3 linked regions of the Drosophila melanogaster genome follow. The protein of the gene in region 1 purifies or fractionates together with the protein of each later gene. This does not show direct contact. Each region holds a gene or a part of one and is shown in the gene's direction. Other genes may lie near its edges.

The links.
Region 2: the proteins of Z600 (region 1) and CycB3 purify together in Drosophila melanogaster (affinity purification with western blotting, with the first as the bait; one study listed by BioGRID). This does not show direct contact.
Region 3: the proteins of Z600 (region 1) and Apl purify together in Drosophila melanogaster (affinity purification with mass spectrometry, with the first as the bait; one study listed by BioGRID). This does not show direct contact.

The regions. Positions count from the first base shown.
Region 1 is NT_037436.4:15,505,613-15,512,386, forward strand, and holds Z600 (Z600), read left to right. Parts: upstream 1-3,448; 5' UTR 3,449-3,511; coding exon 3,512-3,784; 3' UTR 3,785-3,901; downstream 3,902-6,774. Other genes in the region: CG7841 (uncharacterized protein), read right to left, coding at 277-536, 615-733, 1,861-1,954, 2,187-2,238; gdl-ORF39, read left to right, coding at 3,937-4,056; gdl (gonadal), read left to right, coding at 4,124-4,269, 4,325-4,619, 4,993-5,136; MsrA (methionine sulfoxide reductase A), read left to right, coding at 5,507-5,557, 6,560-6,753. UniProt on the Drosophila melanogaster protein: Cell cycle regulator that is involved in modulating and adjusting cell proliferation according to the requirements of the developmental program. Interacts with mitotic Cdk1-cyclin complexes to inhibit mitotic entry at the G2/M transition.
Region 2 is NT_033777.3:24,865,396-24,872,816, reverse strand, and holds CycB3 (cyclin B3), read left to right. Parts: upstream 1-2,000; 5' UTR 2,001-2,288; coding exon 2,289-4,016; 3' UTR 4,017-4,883; downstream 4,884-7,421. Other genes in the region: CG3744 (uncharacterized protein), read left to right, coding at 1-163, 406-598, 664-865; Elal (Elastin-like), read right to left, coding at 6,291-6,805, 6,973-7,421. UniProt on the Drosophila melanogaster protein: Cyclins are positive regulatory subunits of the cyclin-dependent kinases (CDKs), and thereby play an essential role in the control of the cell cycle, notably via their destruction during cell division.
Region 3 is NT_037436.4:16,593,420-16,600,840, forward strand, and holds Apl (apollo), read left to right. Parts: upstream 1-2,000; 5' UTR 2,001-2,114; coding exon 2,115-2,180; intron 2,181-2,667; coding exon 2,668-2,840; intron 2,841-2,899; coding exon 2,900-3,618; intron 3,619-3,674; coding exon 3,675-4,081; intron 4,082-4,607; coding exon 4,608-4,717; intron 4,718-4,776; coding exon 4,777-5,899; intron 5,900-6,024; coding exon 6,025-6,242; intron 6,243-6,321; coding exon 6,322-6,748; 3' UTR 6,749-7,040; downstream 7,041-7,421. Other genes in the region: spd-2 (spindle defective 2), read right to left, coding at 1-583, 645-1,401, 1,463-1,547.

The DNA.
Region 1 (6,774 bases):
CTCAATTTACTTCATATACACACTTATATGCGAGATGAACCTATGCCAAGATTTGCCACCACGGTGGCCTCCCAACCACTAACATCCAAAGTGATATTTACTTAGTCGCTAGCCGAAAACTAAGCAAGTCTCTCGTCACATCTCGTTTCGCCCACTATCATCTAGTGTGATTTTGCCCATGTCCAGTCGAACGTACATGCACAGAAGGAAGCACTGACTATCTAGGAATTGACAAAGATCAGGCTCTGCCACTCATTCGATCCCATGCGATCGGTCCTACAGGCTTTTGGTTATGTTCTGGAAGAGGCGACGTCCCCACCACGACTCCAGGTCGAAGGGCTTGAAGTCCTGTAGCGCTGGACTCGGTGGCTCCACCCAGACAGTGGCTGTCGAGGCAGCGGGCACTGGGCTGTTGGCCATTATGCTTTCCACTGGACTGGCGGCGCTGTTGTTGTTGGCATCCGCTACAGGTTTCTCAACAGGCTTGGCGGATGAGCTCGAGTCGTAGGGATTCTGCGCCACCAGCATGTTCCAGGCTGCCAAAAAGTAACAAAAGTAAACCACATTTATTAAATACTTATAAGTACATCTTTACAATCATATTTCCGACTTACAGTCATTTATGTAACGTATTATTTCCTCATGTTGCGGCGTTATCACCTCATCCTCGATCAGTTTGGTTGGCGTTATCCGCTTGGTGGCGAAGCTCTGTTGAAACACCGGACGCGGTATGCTGTTTTTTTAAAAATCAGGAAATATGCATACAATTTTAATAACAATGTTCTTGAATTTCAATGAAAAGGCACTTATGCAAACCACACAGATTCCACCAAACATGTGGACTACGAAAATAAATCACTTGGAGAACGAGGTGGGGTAACTTGGGTTCGACAGCTTGCTACTCAGTTCGAGGAACGCTAAATGCATTTTAATTCGAGAAAGGCGCTGCAGTTCGTCGATTACATTATTTTGGCTTTTAAATGTTAAAATTACATATCGATGAAAAAATTACAAACTCAATATATACTCATAAGAGCAATGAGTACTGATAAGCTATCTACAGTGGCAGATAGTAAACAGTGCCATCCCATTGACTGACAAGGATTTGTGGTTTATTAATTTAGATAATAGTATTTCGGCAAAGGGTTAGGTAATTTTTATCTTGAAGTTCTAAAAATAAAAGCAATCGCAAGAAATTAAATACAATTGGGAGTTTATAAAGTTAATATTTATATAGAGAACTTTTCAGATTTCAGCTGAAATGGCTATGGGAAATTCTAGAAAACTCGCATCCATAAGATACTTTTAACAGCAAGCGTAATACAGTTGATATAAAAGGCATAAAAATAAACAAGAAATGAGATACACTCTTCAATTACCTATAAGTACTCTACTCTGAAGTTACATGTTTCGATTGCAGTTAGACATTCGGAATAACTCCACACCCTTCCAGGTAAAATAAGTAAATTAATCAGCCTTGTTTTGGCACAACCTGTGCCGAGCATTGCCGCGAAGTTACGTTGGAGCCGTGACGTAACGGACGTGGAAAAGTCAATGCCTCAATGGCCTCAATGGGCATTTAAATTAAAATGGAGCCGATAACCGACGCCTGACCCACGTGTTTCCAATGGGTCTCCCCTAGCGAGAATAAGACTACTTGCTCGGGAGCAATTAGCATTACTGTGCTAGGTCGCCACGGATTCTTGCGATAAAATGTCAGTGCGATAAGACGAGGGTCTTGAACCCCAGTCCGCGTTTTCCCCCGTCACTTTTCCCGCTTTCCACATTTCACCATGTGCCATCCGTTTGCATAAGCACCCAAGATTTGGGTATGGTTACATATGAGCATGGCATTCTTACTTTTTGTGCTCCTCGGGACTGTTCAGATCGAAACTAGCGTTCTTGCGGCCGCTCTCCTTGATGCTTTCGAATTTTTCAAAATTTGGTGCCAGGCCTGCGGATGGAAAACATGCCATGGAAAGCTATAAAATACGCATTTACTGTGGAAAACGCCGGCAAAACAAAAAGTTAACAGAGCCAGAGAGCAAGAGAGGCAGAGGCAGATATATAGAGAGAGAGAGAGAGAGAAAGGAAAAGAGTATGTTTTTGTGACATAACAGCTGTTCTCTTGAAAGGGTCTATTGTGGCATTATTAACCATTATTACTATCAATATTTTGGACTCACCGCGACGCGTTTTAGCAACAATTTTGCTAGGTCCCTTGTTGATTGTGTACATGGTGGTGGGGAGATGGGGAGTACCGGCTGAAAATATACCTTGTCCTTTCGATTTACGTATTGTTGTTTTCGTTTCTGGCAACGAAATGCCTAGCCGACTGCTATGATTTTGAGTATTTTTCCGCTCTAGGCAATCATATGATCATTGGCAGCCCAGCCTGCCCCACGCCGCCTCCTTTTGGCCTATTGTCATCGTCTCAAAAGGTTACACAATACACTTCACTTAGGGCAGTGATTCCGATTTAGCACTCTTTGATTTTGATGGCTGCCGCACCGCGCTCGTATCAATTGTTTTCGATTAAAATCACCGACAATTACTCCTGGAAACGCGTTTGTAATGTTCTGTGTTCGGCGGACGAGGCTCCAATGCAACTGCCCCATTCAAATCGCATAACGAAATGTTAAGAGAGACACCCGCAAAGAGCCGTATGTTAGGGCGTTCATGCGGCAGACAACTCGACTTTCAGCAGATCATAATTTCTTCATGGCAGTAACCCACGGCAGTGATTTTATTTGATAAGCGTTTATTTCTTTAGGCTTTCAACTATAATGGGCACTATCAATTGTTTAGTAAAGTCTTTATTTTATAATAGCAATCAGCTTTAGGTTTCGTAGTTCGCGAAGTCGATTAACGCATAAACTGTACAACCGATACACGTGTATGCCCACCATATGATTTCGCCAGTATGTACACACTTTAAAACGGCAGTGGGTTCTTTCACCTGCGCGCGTTTTTTTAAAAGCGTATTAATTGATTAGAGGCTACATTTAAAAGATTGGATTATTGAAAGCATTTAGAGATCCAATATAATTGAAAGCATTTGGAGATCCAATAAATTATATTTTTATATTATCTTTAAGGAATTATTATCTATAAAGTAAGAAATTAATATACTCCATTAAAAAGTTATGCACTTTAAACACCAAATTTGGAAATTGTTACGAATTCCTTTCTAATTTATTGCGATTTGTAAAAGGCGGACTTTATGGCGGTAGACTAAAACCCATTACTACCTGCTCGCGTAATTCTGAACGCATTAAAAAGGGATTAGCGAGAATTTTCTGCGGAAATTTTAATTATGAGCAGGTAGCACCATAAAAGTGACAGATGTGGAAAACGGATAAGCTGTATTTTCCGCGCAGATATTTATGGCAGTCCTGAAATTGCACACTCAAGTGGATATAAAGAAGGCCGTGGGCAAAAGGAAATCAGTAGCAAATCAGCAACGTCAAGCTTCACATTAACTTCCTGATCAGCCAGCCTAGCAGTTATTATGTCGTCGACAAATGAAACCAACCAAGTGCTGCAGCGCCTGAACAGCCTGAAAATCGTGGAAACCCCAAAGGAGCAGCATGAGTTCGGAAAACGCGAGTGCTACTCCCTGGACAGCAAGAAGTATTCCCTGGTACCAGCCACCCCCAGCAGCTCAGGACACGGAAAGTTCCAAACCGAACTCAAAAAGCGCCGCAAAAACAAACTGAATCGCATGTACACTTACGAGGCTGATAAGAATTTCATCAAGGCTCGCAAATCTTTGAACTTCTAATCATAATACGAACCGATGTAATCACCTTAGTCATAAGCATCATTGATTTCAAATCGTACAGTCACAATTCTTTTCACGCTCTGATACAACAAAAATATATATAAATACTTTTGAAACATTTTACTTTCCGCGTCTTTCTCTGACTTACCGTTATGTGGGCAGCCAAACTGATTGTGGTCACACTGCTGCTGCTGCAGTTTGCAGCCCTGGCGCTCAGCTGTTCGTGCGGCGAAGAGGCGAAATTGGAGTGCGGTTGCACAAAACATCACTAAAAACACAAATACTTGGGAATATTACACAAATTATTGTAAATAAATAGGAAATCACAATTTAGTTAAGATGGCGGACATACCGGCAACCAGCGAAGGTAGTGCGAACACTAGTGAGGCAGTAGTGGAGTATCAGCAGCCAACTCCGGAGTTTTTACAACGCAAAATCTATTTTTTGGTGGACCAATTGCGAACTTACCATTCGGAACTTCCCGAGTAAGTCCTTGATATTTAGTTTATTTAAATATTTAACGCCATTTTTGATTAACAGAAACTTGCAGACACGCATTTCCTACGATCTACTCACCGAACTCGCCAATTGTGTGCTAAACGATGGCATTTTTGTAATAGTAAAAGCATTAATGGAGCTGCAACACGAAACCGAAAGACACTTAATTAAAATACGGATGCAGGCGGAGAACGAGTATGAAATAGAAGTGGCCGAGTGGAGGAGCAAGATCAAGGATCCCGAGGAGTTGCGCCACATTTTGGGACTCATGAAAATAAAGCACACTAAGAAACTACACGAGTCGGATACGAAGATTATCGAAATACTAGATCAAAAGGTGAAGAATTCAATATCCTTTTGAGTCGTTCCATTCCACGCACTTTTAGTTGGTCTTACCATCCAAATTTCTTTAAAAACAATAGTCGAATCTCAAACTTAGATAATCCTAATCCTATTTAAAATTAAATTCAAATATGATACATAGTTTGATTATGGATGGATCTATAGATTAGGTATATTTTAGGTATATATTTATCTGCAGATTCTTATAATTGAAATGAAATTATCACTAAAGATATTTTCTTTTGTAATACAAATTATTTCTAATCATAACTTTAAATGCTTATATGGGAATACGAAATTAGATTTTACTACTTTAACTTTCTTTGTTTTTTCTTGATGTTGAACTAATATCTAATATCATTACGCAGGTTAATGACCAACAATCCACACTTCAAAAGGCCGGCGTTCCCGGCTTCTATGTCACCGAGAATCCCAAGGAGATAAAAATACAAATGTTCCTGTTGGACTTCATTTTGCGTTTGAGCCGGCTAAAATACGAGCCCGGCAAATAACAGTTAGTCCACAATCCGGAGAACACAAAAGACTGCACTTGACTTGTTCAAATTAGAATATTAAAGGCAATTAAATTATAACCCTGATCAAATGTCCCAGCTGTACGATCAATTGTGGCCCCAAGAAACCTGTAGCGCTGCGCAGTTTTAATCAGCGTAGAATCGGGAGAGGGAGAAAGAGACGGGGCCGGCCGCCAGAAGACTGAAGAGCGGGAGAATTGATAACGATAGCGCGGCACTCTCCACATTCGCGTAGAAAGCGGGAGAGGCGGCAGTATAAATTGGACCGACCTTTCTGCAGATGCATCAGTTCAGCTTTAAATGTTAAAAGCGACACATTAAATAAATAACAATTTTAACTAGTGAAATCATGTCTCTGACTATTACTTCCAGTGTCACTCATCCTGAGCTCAAGGATCTGGTAAGTAATTGGTCTAGTGATTGGTGCCTAATCCTGTGACTAGTGATTTCAAATGTCCTGCGGTTTAATTCGAGCTTAAATGTAAATTAAAAAATGCTATGATAGCTAATGAAATATATTTTAAATTTTTTTTTGCCGAATCGTGACTTTAATACACCTTTAAACAGTGTACAAATATAAATAAACAAATATATGCAATTAAATTATTTGATGTACAAGACATAAGTAATTTGTGAAGAGTCTTAAAGTTTCTTGAACCCCCAAGGCCGGGTGGCCAAAACTTTGATGTGCTTAGTCATAAAAGCCAGTTTCCGACATCTAATGTTCAGAATAATTAAAGCTCATGTGAGCACCTTTTTGTTGGCTAGAGGAATTCGGTTTGTTTTGGCCAGGTTCAGTTGCTTCCCAACAGTTGAGCAGTTTACACATAATAATGTTTTCGCGACTGTTTCGTAATTTCAAGGCGAGTTTTGCTCACCTAAAACCGCATATTTAAATGGTTTTAAAAGTGATTTAAGCTAGGATTAATTTAGTTGTTTGCTGTGCGAAGTGAAGCGCTGTTAGCCAACGACTTTTACTTTCTTTAAATCAGTTTTTCCATTGACCTTGATTTTGAAATTGATTTTGCAATAGTGTGTGCGAGAGAGATAGTATTTTCAATCAGCTGTTCGACAGCTGCAAGTGCAAGGCGAACAGAGCGAAAACCGAAAAGAGCGCGAGAGAGAGTTTAAAATGAGCGCACAAAGTGCATTATTATTTTGCTGACGACATCAGACGCGAACAAAGCCCCAAAGAAAATACTTAAAAAACTTAAAACCTGCCGAATATTGCATTTATTATATACATATAAAATTTTGTGCTTAAAATGCGCTGTTTGCCGGGCTATGGTTACGGCCTTACGTTTCTGTTTTTGGTGTGCGCTCAATACGAATAAATCTAATATTTCAAATTTTAGAAATCTGTTGCTCATACTCCCCTTTCTTCTTCTTCTTCTTCTTCCAGAGCACCGTTCGCAATGAACAAAAGGAACTGAACATTTCGCCGGTTCACGATGTGAATGTCACCAAAGCCACGGCCACTTTCGGCATGGGTTGCTTTTGGGGCGCAGAATCCCTGTATGGAGCCACCCGTGGAGTTTTGAGAACCACCGTGGGCTACGCCGGAGGCAGCTCGGATTTGCCAACGTACCGTAAAATGTAAGGGAGCAAGTTGAGAGC
Region 2 (7,421 bases), on another chromosome or scaffold:
GACTCTCGAGGATCGCGGCATCGAGGCAAGCGATTCGAAAGTCACATCCGTGGTCGGATGGGTCAGGTGGAGCTGACGGATCAGGTGGATGCGCTGCGGAGCTTGTCTGACCAGTTGGGCTACATTGACATGGATCGCGTGGCCATTCACGGGTGGTCATACGGTAAGTTATCTCGAGATAGGTGATTGACATTGTTATAGTGGGGTATTTCCCACAACTCTGCATACTATTTAATCTAATCAACAAGCAAGTCATTCTGAACTTGCAAGTACACAGACAGAATGAAGATGCCTTATCGGTTTATGAACGTTAAATTAATGCACTATAATGGTTACTTTCAATTGAGGGAACTGGGTAAAGGTAAAGGCATTGCAATAATTTCCATATGGTTGTCATTTCAACAGGGGGCTATCTTAGCCTGATGGGCCTGGTTCAGTATCCGAAAATCTTTAAAGTGGCCATTGCCGGAGCGCCGGTCACCAACTGGGAGTATTACGATACGGGCTACACGGAACGATACATGGATATGCCGCAAAATAACGAGGCCGGTTACTCAGCCGGTTCGGTGCTCGAATACGTAAACTCTTTTCCCGAAGAGTGAGTTCTTAAGCTGGTTCTTAAATTGTCAAATTTTCGAAACATTCATGTTTTCTTTTGTTCAGGGACAAACGCCTGCTGCTCATACACGGCCTGATCGACGAGAACGTGCACTTCTGCCACACCTCGCGTCTGATCAGTGCTTTGAACAAGGCAAACAAGCCGTACGAGGTGCATCTGTTCCCCGAGGAGCGGCATTCGTTGCGTAATCTGGAATCGAATAAAAACTACGAAACTAAATTACTGTCATTCTTGCAAAACTTATGAGATTCGTAAATGTCAACAGCCGAAACAAGATCGCCTGCTTAGGCAGTAAAACTAGACCCGCCCCACGCCCTCGTCCCTTTGCAATAGTTTTTTACATCATTGTCTTTGTTTTTATTTGAATTTTTGTTGTTCGAACTATTGTTTTTATTCGATAAAGAAAATGAGAGAAAACGAAATTTGTATCATATTTTTAGCATACTTAATTTATAAACGTACGCAGTTGTAAGTATAATGGAAAGTTGAATGAATGAAAGTTTACCTGCCACCCAATATTAGACTTCAGATCAAGACCAAGCAGCTTATTGTAATTAATTTATACTTAATGTTCTACAACACACGTCATATACTCTTAACTATGTTTTAATTGTGTTTGATATCCGCAAATGTACATTTTTCCTATCAGTAATTATAAGTTGTGTTTTAGTGCGTATGTACGAGTATGAGTGACTGTATGCGTGTTTTCCACAGAAACGGAAAAAAAAAACCTTAAACTTGTCATGCCTTTGGGGCAGGCCATCAATTAATGTTAGTTCTACGCATGCATATATATATATATATATATATATATTATATATCTCTTCGATAAACCTGACGCAAGTCGTATGCATACTTGATTGAGTTCTTAGAAACCCGCGTTTGGCTGAAGCAACAAAAACTGAATTAAATTTAATATTAATTATGCCTATATATAATCATTAGTTTTACAACTGATACAAGCAAACGTATATATACATATATTTTGTTTAACATTTAAATAAACAGTTGTGTGTAAAAGCAGGTGTTTTACTTTTCTCTCTTGTTTGGATTGATGGGGATTTTTGGGCACTGTTCAATTAATTAAATAAATATATTTAAACAAATTCCTTTCTGTCAGCTGCTCGAGGCTACTTTGATGAGTTTCTTAGTTCCATAAATTTGCAATTGCATATTTAAGCAAACTGCCCAAATAGTTCAATTCACATGTTTTGAACTTCAGACATTTAAATTAGCCGCGCTCTGGAAGACTACCCCCAATGCCTACCTTCACCACAGAGGTGTATTCCAGTCGATTTCCGTTAGGCGACCGAACGCCGCGGTACGGTCACACTGCAGGCCGCATCTGCATCTGGCATCTGGCGGTGTTTTTTTGATTTTTTACTCAGTGCTCTCTATCCCTCCGGCCAAGCGCCATAACTCCACAAAACTCGATCCGGAATTATATTGTGAGTTTGTGTGAATGTCTAGGCTTGATCGAGTCGACAATATCGGCAGTAGCGAACGACTCAAGTTCTAGCCAACACAAAGACCACATTCTGCAAGGAATCCGCTAGCGAGGATCTTGCTGAAACCAAGTGGAAGTGGAGGAGACGAGGACTCCAGGCGCCGCGCACAAGAACACAAACAACAAACGACGAGTGCGCTCACACGCAAACACGCATTCAAAATGGCGCCCACAAAAGCAACAACGCGCGCGGCCATCACAAGCGGGCATCATCAGCTGCAGCAGGCAGTGAATCCCATCCTGGGAGCCCTGGGAGCTGCCACTAGGAAGGGACTGACTCGGAGGGCGGCTGCCACGGGAAACATCGATCCGAATGTGGAGAATATGCAGACGCGCGCCAAACGCAAGGCCGACCACAGTCCAATTAAAAATGACAAAATCAAGCGCTCGGCGCTGGGTAACCTGACCAACAATGTTAAGATCATGACACTGCATCCGGCACAGGATGAGGAGCAGTCGGGCGTGGGCAAAAAGCCAACGGCCCAGCAGCTGCAGGCCCTGATGGATGCTAAGAAACAGGAGAATCTCAGCGTAAATGTCTTTGGCGCCAGTAAGATGACTACGCGCGCCTCCAGTAAAGTGGAGGATTCGGTGGAGAACTGCCACAAAGTGCTCGATAAGCTGGAAGAGGCGTTGGCCAGGCCCAAACCGCGCCCCAAGGCAGTGCCTGCCGCAAAAAAGACCGTTTTGGGGGAGGTTCAGCTACCGGCCATGCCAAATCCTATGCAGATTCCCGTTTTACTGCCGCCCACGCACAATCTGGCTGCTCCCCAGGTTGCCGCCGTCAAGCCAGTTCGTCGGATCTCCAATGACTTCAACAAGACTGAGGACAGCCTGTACATGTCCGCGCTGGAGGATGTCTCCAGTTGCGACTCCATGCGGCTGTCTGGAAACTTTGAGGCGGCGCGACGTCGCTCCGCCAAGTTGCAGCAAAAGACTGAGCAGCAGCCACAGCCGCTGTTGCTGACACTCCCAGAGACTGCTCCAAGCCAGGTGGTGCCCATTCCGCCAGTGCCCGAGGAAGTAGAGGACTTCGACCGCAAGAACTGGGACGATCCCTTCCAGGTGTCCCACTACGCCATGGATATATTCAACTACCTCAAAGTGCGCGAAGCGGAATTCCCCATTGCCGACTATATGCCCAGGCAGATCCATCTGACCACCTGGATGCGCACCCTGTTGGTCGACTGGATGGTGGAGGTGCAGGAAACGTTCGAGCTGAACCACGAGACTCTGTACCTAGCGGTTAAGATCGTCGATCTGTATCTCTGCCGCGAGGTGATCAACAAAGAGAAGCTGCAACTTCTGGGCGCCGCTGCCTTCTTTATTGCCTGCAAGTACGATGAGCGACAGCCGCCGCTTATAGAGGATTTTTTGTATATCTGCGATGGTGCTTATAATCACGACGAGCTGGTGCGAATGGAGCGGGAGACGCTGCGCGTTATCAAGTACGATCTGGGCATCCCGCTCTCGTACCGTTTCCTGCGCCGCTATGCCCGATGCGCCAAGGTGCCTATGCCCACGCTGACCCTGGCTCGATACATCCTGGAATTGTCGCTCATGGATTACGCCAATATTTCGTTCAGTGACTCGCAGATGGCTTCGGCCGCACTGTTCATGGCACTGCGTATGCACGGCGGTCCGGGGCAGCTGGACAAGCAGACGTGGACATCGACGCTTATCTACTACACCGGCTATCAATTGGCGGACTTTGCTGAAATTGTGACCGCGCTCAATGCAGGACTGCATCGCAAGCCACGGGCCACCATCAAGACGATACGGAACAAGTACTCGCACAAAATATTCCACGAGGTGGCCAAGGTGCCGCTGCTGACGAACCAGGAGCTCTTCCAGGGCAACCTTGACCTGAACGAAAGCAATCTGTCGTAGGACAGCCTCAAAGTTTAGCCAAATTCAACATGATACGATACGCTTCACTTAGGCTCTAAGACGCTTCTATTCCCAATATTAGCCCCATCCCGACGAAACAGCGGATCCCCGCCTTAATCTAAAAACCCCTGATTTTACCCCTTACCTAGTGTTCCCGTCAAGTCCTCGCAATTTATTATATTTTAATTATTATTGTGACCTTCGCATTATTGACATGTTTTTTGCATAAATATTATGTTAAGAGTGCTTTTGTTTCTTTTTGCCATGTATTATTGTTTAATTTTCCCACATACCGCATACGTAGCCGAACACAATCAATCTAAACTCGAAAGGCGACATTATCTTTAGCACCCCCACCCAAAAAATCCCAAAACGATTCATGTTTTAATATGTACGTTAGTCTTAAGAGATGCCAGCATTAAATAAACCTAACTCGTAAGCCACCAAAGCAGACACGGATCCCCACTAACTTATTCTACACAGATACACAAACGCAAGGATACGAAGCGACTATGAAAGGCACGTGTGTCCCGTACAACCTGGAAATGCGCTGCGATCAACCCTCGTCCCGTGCACGCCATGTACGCCATGTGCATCTGTTCCTGTCGTCGTTATTAATGCTGTTATTTGTTAAGTCGTTCATGGACTCCCCTCCTTGCGCTCACATTCCCGCCCCTCGAAGGACGCTCACCATCAACTTCCCAGTTCCTGATCATACCGCCCCGCCCCGCCCTGCCTCAGTTCACCTCGTTTATCCATGGATGGTTGATAACGTTGCATTGTTGAAGTAACTAGTTATGTATGTACTCAGTGTTATGTATGTATCGTTTTGCGAGAGAATACCAATAAACATTTTTACGTCCGTTCAAAAATACTTCAATCTTTTTACCATCATTACATTCGGAAAACGGTGGGCGAAGTGAAAAAATTCTTACTTTTAATAGGGTAAGTGCAATAAATTCGTATTTTTATTTTTCTTTCTAGAAAACTCTTTTAAAAACCTGATGGAAGTTTCAAAATCGGGTGAGTATTAACTCAGATATAACTAGTTGAATGCAATTGTAGTATCATTAGTGTTTATGTTTACTTTAAATAAGTATTTTAAATTAGCTGTCTTTATCCAGCATGTTGGAAATGATCCTAGTTCCTAGGGGATTAAATAATTTAGGGCATTATTTTCAATTTCCTAGAATCTGGAATGTATGTATTTGTTGCAGTTCAATCTTTAATTGTTAGAAACAGAGCATAAACTCCTAGATGTCAAAGGTTAAGGGAAAACGTTTAGCACATCTAGACTTCTTTGCCGTGAGTATACCCATTACCCCACCCATTCTAATTCCTTTGTTTCGAATCCTCTCAGCTGAATCTGTGCTCCTTTCTCCGCGCTCATCATAGAACAGCTGATGGCTGATGACCTAAGGACATCAAACCCTGGCTGGAATCGGTTCGATTTGCTACAGGTAAAAACCACCGATACCGTCCGTCCAAATCATTCATAATCCATGAGTGTAAGTGTCTGTCTGTATACTCGTAGTCTGTATACCCCGGGCATGATTCTCTCGAGTTTCCTGCGGTTCCTTGCTTTTGGCGCGCTCGTCCGTCATTTTAGCGCCAAAAATTTGTTAAGGATTTGCGCGGCAGGCTGCGCATGCGCCGCAAGACATCAAGACGTCGTCCCTTGGTTGGGTTCCTTTCCTTTCCTTCGGCCCTCTCTTTTCCGCTGCACAGCGAAACCCAGCCGATTTATGTCGCTGCAGTTGGGTCCAGCGAAGGGCACCAGGAGTACCAATACCAGTAACAGCGTCTCTCTCTGACGCTGATTTTCTACCACCACCTTTGGCTCGCCCAGAGTCCTGCCTTTGTGCGTTCCCTTTTTTTCGGCTGCCTGCCAGCCAGGTAGCTCCTGTCGTCTTCGATTGTGTCCACGCCGGATAAAAGAAGCGGCATTGCCATAAGAATAAGGAAAAGAATAAGGATGGGATGTGAATGTCTTGGGTTAGCTGTCTGTATGGGAGCAGAATGCCGAGTGCATGTGCTTTATTTTTTCCGGTTCAAGGTGCAACTGGTAACTGGCCAGCATTGCTAATTATCTTGGTTGGGTGTGCAGAAATCAAGTTTATTTCGCAGGGACACACAGGATGATAGGCAAAGACAGCTGCCTCTGGCCAAGGAGGCAGCAGCGAAGTTATGACTACGACTCGGATTACTTCACGCCCCACCAACACCATTACCACTACCACCACCACCGAGGTCCACCCATGATGTCGGCCAGCTTCAGTAGGCCGGCGAGTTGAAGGCACCGTTGTATCCGCCCCCATATCCACTGCCATAGCCAAAGGCATTGTGATTGTTCAGCACTCCAAATGGTCCCTTGTGGACGCCATCCTCCTTGTACTCGGTGTTCATCGAGAAATGATGGTCCCAATGGCTCGGATCAGCGGGATTGTGAGCCGGATAGCGATGATAGTTCATGCCGCTGGTGGCAGGAGCCTGACCAGCTGCTCCGGGCACTCCTGCCACTCCAGGTGCTCCCGGAACTCCAGCTACTCCAGGAACTCCTGGTTGAGCCACAGCTCCGGGTAGCACTCCATAGGCGGGGAACTGGGCTGGTTGAGGGTACGCTGGGTACTGTGGCAAGTATACTCCGGGGTAGGGATAGCCAGGATAGGCACCAGTTCCCGGGAAGTAACCAGGTGCTCCTGCACCCACTGGCTGCTGGGGAGGAACTCCCACCGGATACTGAGCAGGAACTGCTCCAGCAACAGGATAGCCAGGAGGAGAAACAGCACCTAAAAAGGGGACATTTCATTAATATCATAATTTCATATATATTTCAAAATGTGGATTTGCTATTCACCAATCTTTTAAATTTTGTATAACTTTTTTGGGAGTTAAGACTTGATATTAGTTTTCTGATTTCACTAAGATAAATGAACCACCTATTAGAAGGACCTACCTGCACTTTGGTAACCACCGGATGATGAGGATCCTCCTGAAGAGCCTCCTGCAGCTGGGTACGGAACTGGAGCCTGTTGTCCAGGAAAACCCGGAGGCGGATAAGCGGGAATCTGGTGACCTCCTGTAATTGTGAGTGCCGGATTTGGTGACTGGTTGCCAGGAAAAACAACGGAGTTCGTACTGGCCACTCGTACGCCAGAGCCACCCTGCTCATGGCCATGGGCATCGTCGATGGATCCAGTTGCGCCCGCATAACCCGATCCCAGCTGACCAAGGCCAGGATAAAGTTGCGAATTGAGATTGGCCCGCTGGCGATGGCGACTGCTGGTAATGCCTCCCGTCAGAGTGGAGGCCAGGTTAAACTCCGTCTTCTGATCCTCCTGACTTTCGTCCCTGCTGAATTGCGAGGCCTGACCGCTGGCTATCTGGATGAGGGCCAGAGCGGCG
Region 3 (7,421 bases), 1.1 Mb from region 1:
CTGCAAATGACGAAAATCCGTTGAGTTTAGCACAGAGTCCGTGAAACTCATGGTGTCGGTAAGCTTGTTGGAGCCGCACGAAGTGCGCTCCGCATGGGAGTTGCTGCTCTGGTTCTCCTTGTTTTCCCCATCGTCATAATTGTTTCCACGACCATGCTCCCACAGGTGGTTGACAACCTCTACAGTGGATGTATCCGAATTGAGATCTATGTCCCTTAGCGCCTTGTCGATCGCGGAGAGACTTAGGATCTCGGAGCTCGACGGCGGACGCTTGGTCTCTTTGGCTGCCAGACCATTCCTGCTCTTTAGCGCAGTTTCAATCCGATCCTGTTGCATCTTACGCATAAGATTGCGTCCGAGATTCGAGCCAGTTATGGCATCCGTTTTAGTGTATGTTTTATTGTCTGGCTGTGGGGTCTTCTCGCCAACCGAATCCAGTGTCACGTTACTTTCTGGTTCCAATAGCGGTTGGTTGGTTCGCGAACGATTCGGGCTGCTATTGCTCACAATGTTCCATATATTTTCCGAACGCGTCTGGAAGTAGTTGCCCAGCGAAAAGTCTGGATCTCCGGCCAAGACAGAACTGTAAATAAAAGTTGAAAGTTGATCAAATTATATTTGGAAGACTATTTTATGTTGCTTACTTGGACACCGAGGTTTCTATCTCGGATGTTGGTGCGGCAATCTTCTTCAACGCCTGTGTGCTCAACGTGGCCGTCGGCATGGCCGTGAACTCCTGCGCCCAGGAGATTTCACCGAGCACCAATTTGGACTGCATTAGCTCGGCGGGAGCAAAGCTCTCATCCTGGCCTTCCGCCGCCAACGAGGCAGATCCAAAGGAAAATCCCCCACCTCCGTTAAGACTCAGTTCACTCATGTCCGCAGTGCGCGGTAAGCTGCGCGAGCAGTTGAATGAATCTGAGAGGCTGCTGGAGCTGCCACGTGATAAGTGATAGCTGGCCTCCGCCTGACTGGCATCCTGCAGCTTCCTTTCCAACAGGCGAGCCTTCTCAACGAAGGATGACTTTAGAATTTCGGCCACCGACAGGGATGGCTTCTCCCTGCGGCGCTGTTTTCCCGCCTGGCAGAGTGTGGACCTGCCGGTGATCTCCGCAGGCTCAAAAGAGATGTTTGTGCCCTTGGTGGCGGGCGTGACCAAAGCAAAGGAGCTGCTGCTGTTCAGATCGATGGTGTCGTCTGTTACCAGCTCCGAGATGTTTGTGGACAAGCGCATCTGGAGGGCAGTGCTCTTTGCTTGGCTGGAACGCGACGGTCGGGGCTTTTCCAGTGTCTCCAGCGCACGCAGTCGTTCTTCTCGGAGCCGCTCGTGGACGGCGGGAGAGTCCCGACCAGTGCCGCTCCTCCTTCCACTTTTGCTGAAGCTGGACAAGTCGCCGAAGACTGTAGGGAATGAGGATTACTTGCTGCTTCGGCTTATTTCCGGCGTGCTCCACCTGCTTACCCTTTAGATTGTCCATGTTCAGGATGCCCAGCGAGTTCTGGTCCATGAAACTGCCATTTCCTTGGCTTCCACTGCTACTGTCCATTCCGCTTTGTCCTTAAACAGTTACAGTTTGCAGTGCGAACGCGAAAACAAAAAAAAGGCGCGTCGCTTCGATCAAAAATGGACGTCGATAAATGATAAAAGATCCAGGGCTGCATACTAGTGTCGAAGCGGCCTTTGCTTACTTGTCCGGTCGATCAAATGTCAAAAATGTAAATATTTTTAGTATTCTACTGCATCACTGCTGCTAGCGCATATATCAAAACTCCACAATAAACAAAAAAACATAAATACACATATATAATAAACAAAAAAACATAAATACATATATTAAAGAAAAATGTTAACACAAGTCACCAATTAACTGCGCGAGATAAATTTACGTTACATCCCCACTCGTTAAACCGCAATGATAACCGCTAGCCAATTCAAGAGTAGAATGTAAAATAAGCTTACGATAAACTGTAAACTGCAACAAGCGCAAAACGTGCGACGGGGATTTCTCCCCGGTATTCCACTTTTCAATTCTCAATACCGCGTAACGTCGTCTGCAATTTGTACCGGATTGCATTGGATTATCCGCCTGGGCGCGAACAGTAACTCCCCAAAAATGGAGGCAGCTATTCTGGATATAATCAACGGGATCCTGACCATAGACACGGAACGAATCCGTGAGGTGAGCAAAGCGGGCCATCCGGCAATAAGAAAGGAGGTTATCCTGGGCGCCAATGGATGTCTTTCATGTATGCTTTCCTTTCTGACTGCTTCACGTTTGTCTGATCAGTTAAGTTGAATCCACACTTAGCTGTAAAAATAGGTGTATAATATTTTTTTTTTTTTTAATTTAATGTTTAATGTTCTATTTGATCAGAACAAACTTCCGAAAACTATTGCACTTTTTTAGAAATAATTATTTATATATAAATAATAATTATAATAATTATTAAAAAAAATTATTATAAAAATTATAAAAATAATTATAATTAATAATAATTAATTAATATTATATTTTTATTTGCATTAAACTCGTGGATATACCATTACATTGCTCGAATGGACGCACACTTCGTCGCTTCCTAATTGAAAAATTACTTATGTTGATAGCATGATAGCATAGGGCCATAAAAGTCGCTAATAAAGTTCCATTTCTTTCGCTTCCTTAGTCCACAGCCAAGATGCTAAAGGCCTACGAGAATCCCGATTCTCTGCTGGTTCTCACCCAGATCGTGATGTCGGACAGGCCGGTCCAAGAGCGGCAGGTCGCCGCCGTGCTCCTCAAGAGGCGGGTCAAAAAGTTACGCCACTGGCAGTTGGTTCCCGCCGAGCACCAGGCAGCGTGAGTTAACTGGTTACCTTTTAATGACTATGATACAGTAACGGATGCATGTTTTTTAGAATCAAATCGAACATGCTACAGGTCCTCATCGCGGTGAAGGAAAAGACCGTGAAGGGCACGGTGGCCTTTATAATTGGATCGCTGGTGCGCCACGAGGAGGGCGAGCAAAACTCCTGGAGGGAGGAAATACTGAAGTTTATTTACGAACGTTGCAGCAGCCCCGATCCAATAGAAAGCGAGCGGGGCAGCTCAATCTTTTCCTCGCTCATGGACGCTGCTCCCGATCAGTTTTCGGACCACACGGATACTATGTTCCCATTGCTTGCCGGCATTCTAGTTACCGCCGAGGCGAATGGGAACATGGCCACACCCACCGTGCATAACATGCTGACCGGTTCATGCTTCTTGTTGCCTTTCGTAAGTGGACATAGTAATGCTGAGCAGATTGTGGTTAAGGCTGTGCCGCTCATACTCAAGGCCCTGGCCGCCTTTGTCGAAAAGGGGTACAGTATTGAGTTCATGGGTGCCTTTGATATCATCGACAGCATGGCCGAGCATGTGCCCCACTTGCTGACCGGTAATGTGAAGCTGCTTCTGGAGTTTTGTCTGATGATTGCGAGAAACAAGCAGTTCGACGCTTCGATTCGGGTTCAGGTGCTTACCTTTGTAGGCAGCCTAGTTCGCCTCAAGAAGAAAATTATTATGAAGCAGAAACTACTACAGCCCACACTATCTGTTCTTTTCGAAGTGATTTGCCAGGACGACCTCGAGGAAGGTGGTAACTGCTCCTTTATATTTCTGTTGCCATGCTTGCTAACCCTATTCCTATTCTAGACGATGATTACTTTTCCTCGGAGAGCCTGAGTAGTCCATCCAATGCAGCTGCGCAGACACTGGACCTGATGGCCCTTCACATGGTGCCGGACAAGTTTATTCCGCCACTACTGGATTTGCTGGAGCCTGCGTTGCAGAGCCCGGAACCTGTGCTTCGCCGTTCCTCTTTTATTTGCATGGGCGTTATTGCCGAGGGCTGTTCCGAGGCCATTGGGAAAAAGTATCTCGAGGTCATGCTAAATATCATCAAAGCTGGAGTGTTGGACTCTGTTATGTTCGTGCGGACCGCCGCATTCTTCGCCCTCGGTCAGTTTTCCGAGTTTCTTCAGCCGACGATCTGCAAGTTTGCTCCCCAAATTCTACCCGTGTTGTTCGACTATCTAAACCAGCTGGTACTGGAACTCAAGGTAGGTAATCATTGTGGCCATCTTCGACCAACTTGGAATTTGTATATTTTACATTCTCGTTTATTTGTTTGTGCTGCTTCTAAAGGCTGGCCATAACAGCAATGGGCCAAATCTCGATTCCGTACCTGCCAAAGATTCCATAATGTACTTAGACAAGATACAGATCAAGCGAAGATCGGTCCTCGCCAAATATAGGGTGCTTTTTCGATGTCTTACTGTTTACTATGTACTTGATTGCACATCAAACACCTAAAATTTGTTGAATAGTTTGCCAGATTGATTACATTAAGAGCTCTGTTGTAGATATATCATTTCGCACTGGTTTATTTAACTTTTTGGCGTATGTTAAATGTTCATTGACTCGTTTCTTAATTGTTATTTAAATGAGTAATAAGTTCGTCGGTTACATAAAGAAGGTGTCTTCAAATGGGGTTCTTTTCACGTTTTTTGAGGACTGCATTCCGTTTTGCACCAACAAAGCCAACAAATTGTTTGGCAGAAACATACTAAATGTATTTTCTTTCAGGTTGGTGAGCCGGATTCGAAACATATGGATCGTATGTTTTATGCCCTGGAGACCTTTTGCGAGAATCTGGATGAGGATATTGTTCCTTATTTACCCACACTTATGGATCGGTAAGACTAGACTATACTACGGAAATATGAGTCCACTCCCTGATAAACTTATTGTGCAGTCTGTTTGGGGTTATGGAACCGCAGAACTCAAATCAAATGCGTGAAATGGCTTTGTCGGCCATAGCAGCGGTGTCAGCAGCAGCTAAGGAAAACCTGATGCCATATTTCCCCAGGATCATGACCGTACTACAGGGCTGTCTGGTGAAGGATTGCCCAAAAGAAATGTACAGTCAGCGCATCCAAGCTATCGACACTCTGGCCGCGCTGTGTCGCGAATTGGGCAAGGATAATATTATTCCTCTTGCCGACGATACAATGAACTTCTGCCTGATGATGCTGGAAGACGGTCCGGATGATCCCGAGTACCGCAGGAGTATATACAACCTGATGTCCTCCCTGTCATCAGTTGTCAACGAGAGCATGGCCAGTGTGTTCCCCAAGTTCATTGATCGCATAATGGAGTCTGTGATTTTTTCGGAGGACATGGTGCCAAATGTGTCGGACAATGCGGACGATGATTTGGCCCTAGTAGATGCCCCCGACATAGAGATTGATTTAGAGCACACAGACGACGAAGATGACCAAGACGCTTACCCGGTGGAGAATGATTATATCGTCGAAAAGGAGGAGGCCATTCTGTCACTCAAGGAGTTTGCTACCCATACCGGCGCCGCCTTCGCGCCCTATTTGCAATCTGCATTCGAGAACGTCTACAAGATGATTGATCATCCGCAAGGCGACGTTCGTATGGCATGTATTGACTCCATTTGCTCGTTCATTACGGCTCTCCACAAGTTGGATGATGCCGCCGGCCTGAAGCGCGCCTGCGAGATTGCCATTCCAAAGTTTGCACATATAATGCGCACCGACGACCAGGTTGCGGTCGTACTCCGCATGCTTGACGTCCTCTACGATGTCTTCAAGTACGTGCCGGCGATAAACAGCCAGGAGCACGCCGAACTTATATTCGGTTGCATCAGGGACATCTTCACAAATAAAATGGCCTGTCAGTTTAACGAGGAGAGCGGCGGCGGAGATGATGAGTGTTCGGAGGAAAGCGAGAACGACGAGATGCTGTTCGAGAACGCTGCCAATCTGTTCCCCATGTTTGGCTTAACCCTTCAGCCGGAGCTGTTCTCGCTTTATTTTGGACGCCTTTACCATTTCTATATTCAAAGGCTGGTAGGTTTTGCACGAAATACCGAACATGATGTGGCAAAGGAGAGAGGTCGATCTTCTCTTGGCAATAATTCATACAACCATCGATATTCCGAACGGCTTACTGAAATTCAATTATTTCGTTTCAGGCGAAGGTAAAGGAGCGCGATTTACCAGAACAGCGGGCATACATCTATGGCGCACTTGCTGACTGCTGCAAGGCGTTAAAAGGTTGCTGTGCTACTTATTTCGATGCCCTACGTCCCATTTTTATCGCCGGTTCCAGGGATTCTGATGCCAAAGCGCGACAGAACTCCTATTTTGCACTAGGCGAAATTGTCTTCCATTCCGAGGAAAAATCATTCGAGTGGGTTTCCCGGAAATGAACTTTTCTGCAGAATCTAGTTTTGATGTATATGTTTTTTGTTTTTTTTTTGCATCCATAGGTCTTATCCGACAATTTTGCAAGCCCTTTCCGAAGCAATTGTCAGGGAATCCGTTCCTGCCGCCATGGACAACATTTGCGGAGCAGTTGCTCGTCTCATAGTTACCAACCCAGATTCAGTGCCGCTTGGCCAGGTGCTGCCCGTGTGGCTCAACCATTTGCCACTGAAGGATGACACCGTGGAGAACGATGTGATTCAGAAGGCGTTCCGTGTGCTATACTTGAAGGCCCGCCCCAGCATTGAGGCACATCTTGAGCAAATCCTGGCCATCACCATAGAGGCGAGTTACAAGAGACAGATGCCTGACGTCGAGACAACCGAGAGCGCGGTGGCCCTCATCAAAGAGATTCGCGCCAACTACCCGGAACTGTTCAGCAAAGTATCGAACATGAATCCAGAAGTGTTCAATTATGTGCAAGCCCTGTAAGCCCACATATCCGTGTGAAAACCACCAAACAGCTCAGCACACCCAACGTCCTCCGCCCGCAGATTCATTTATTGGAAGTGATGCAAGCTTTTTATACGAATACTTTCGAAATAGTCTTAAATTTCAGTTGTGCTTCTGTGGAGTTAAATCATTCAAGATGAGCGATCTTTAAAATGGCAAGATGAAGGTTTCTACGCGCCAAAAAACGGAGGCAAATGTTTTCTAACTTATAACCACATCCAGTGAGACATTAATATGCATTGAAATAATATAGGGATTACTTGTTTCATTGAAGGCTATGTTATTATTTAAAATTGGTTTTTCTTCAACCATTAGGCAGTTGATCTTAACTCTTATAGTTTCAGTCTAGTTTCTACCAGTGTGCATTTCGTCGGATGACAACCTCACGGACTATGTCGGCATGATTGGCGTGCAGCTTGAGATTCGAGTCGACGTCCGTCCAGCGCACATTGGAGGCATCGTCACCGGCCATTAGCTCCAATTGTCCCACCTGGCTCCCGTCTTCATCGTGGAAGTTCAGCGCAGTGGTTTCCATCCAAGCGTTGTCCGTGTTTCGAAAATCGTCTACGTAGCCTTGGTATACCTGAACGCCTCCCGCTTGAAAAAATCGCTCAACCATGTTGGCTTTGTCCGTGAAATTCAATGCCTCCTC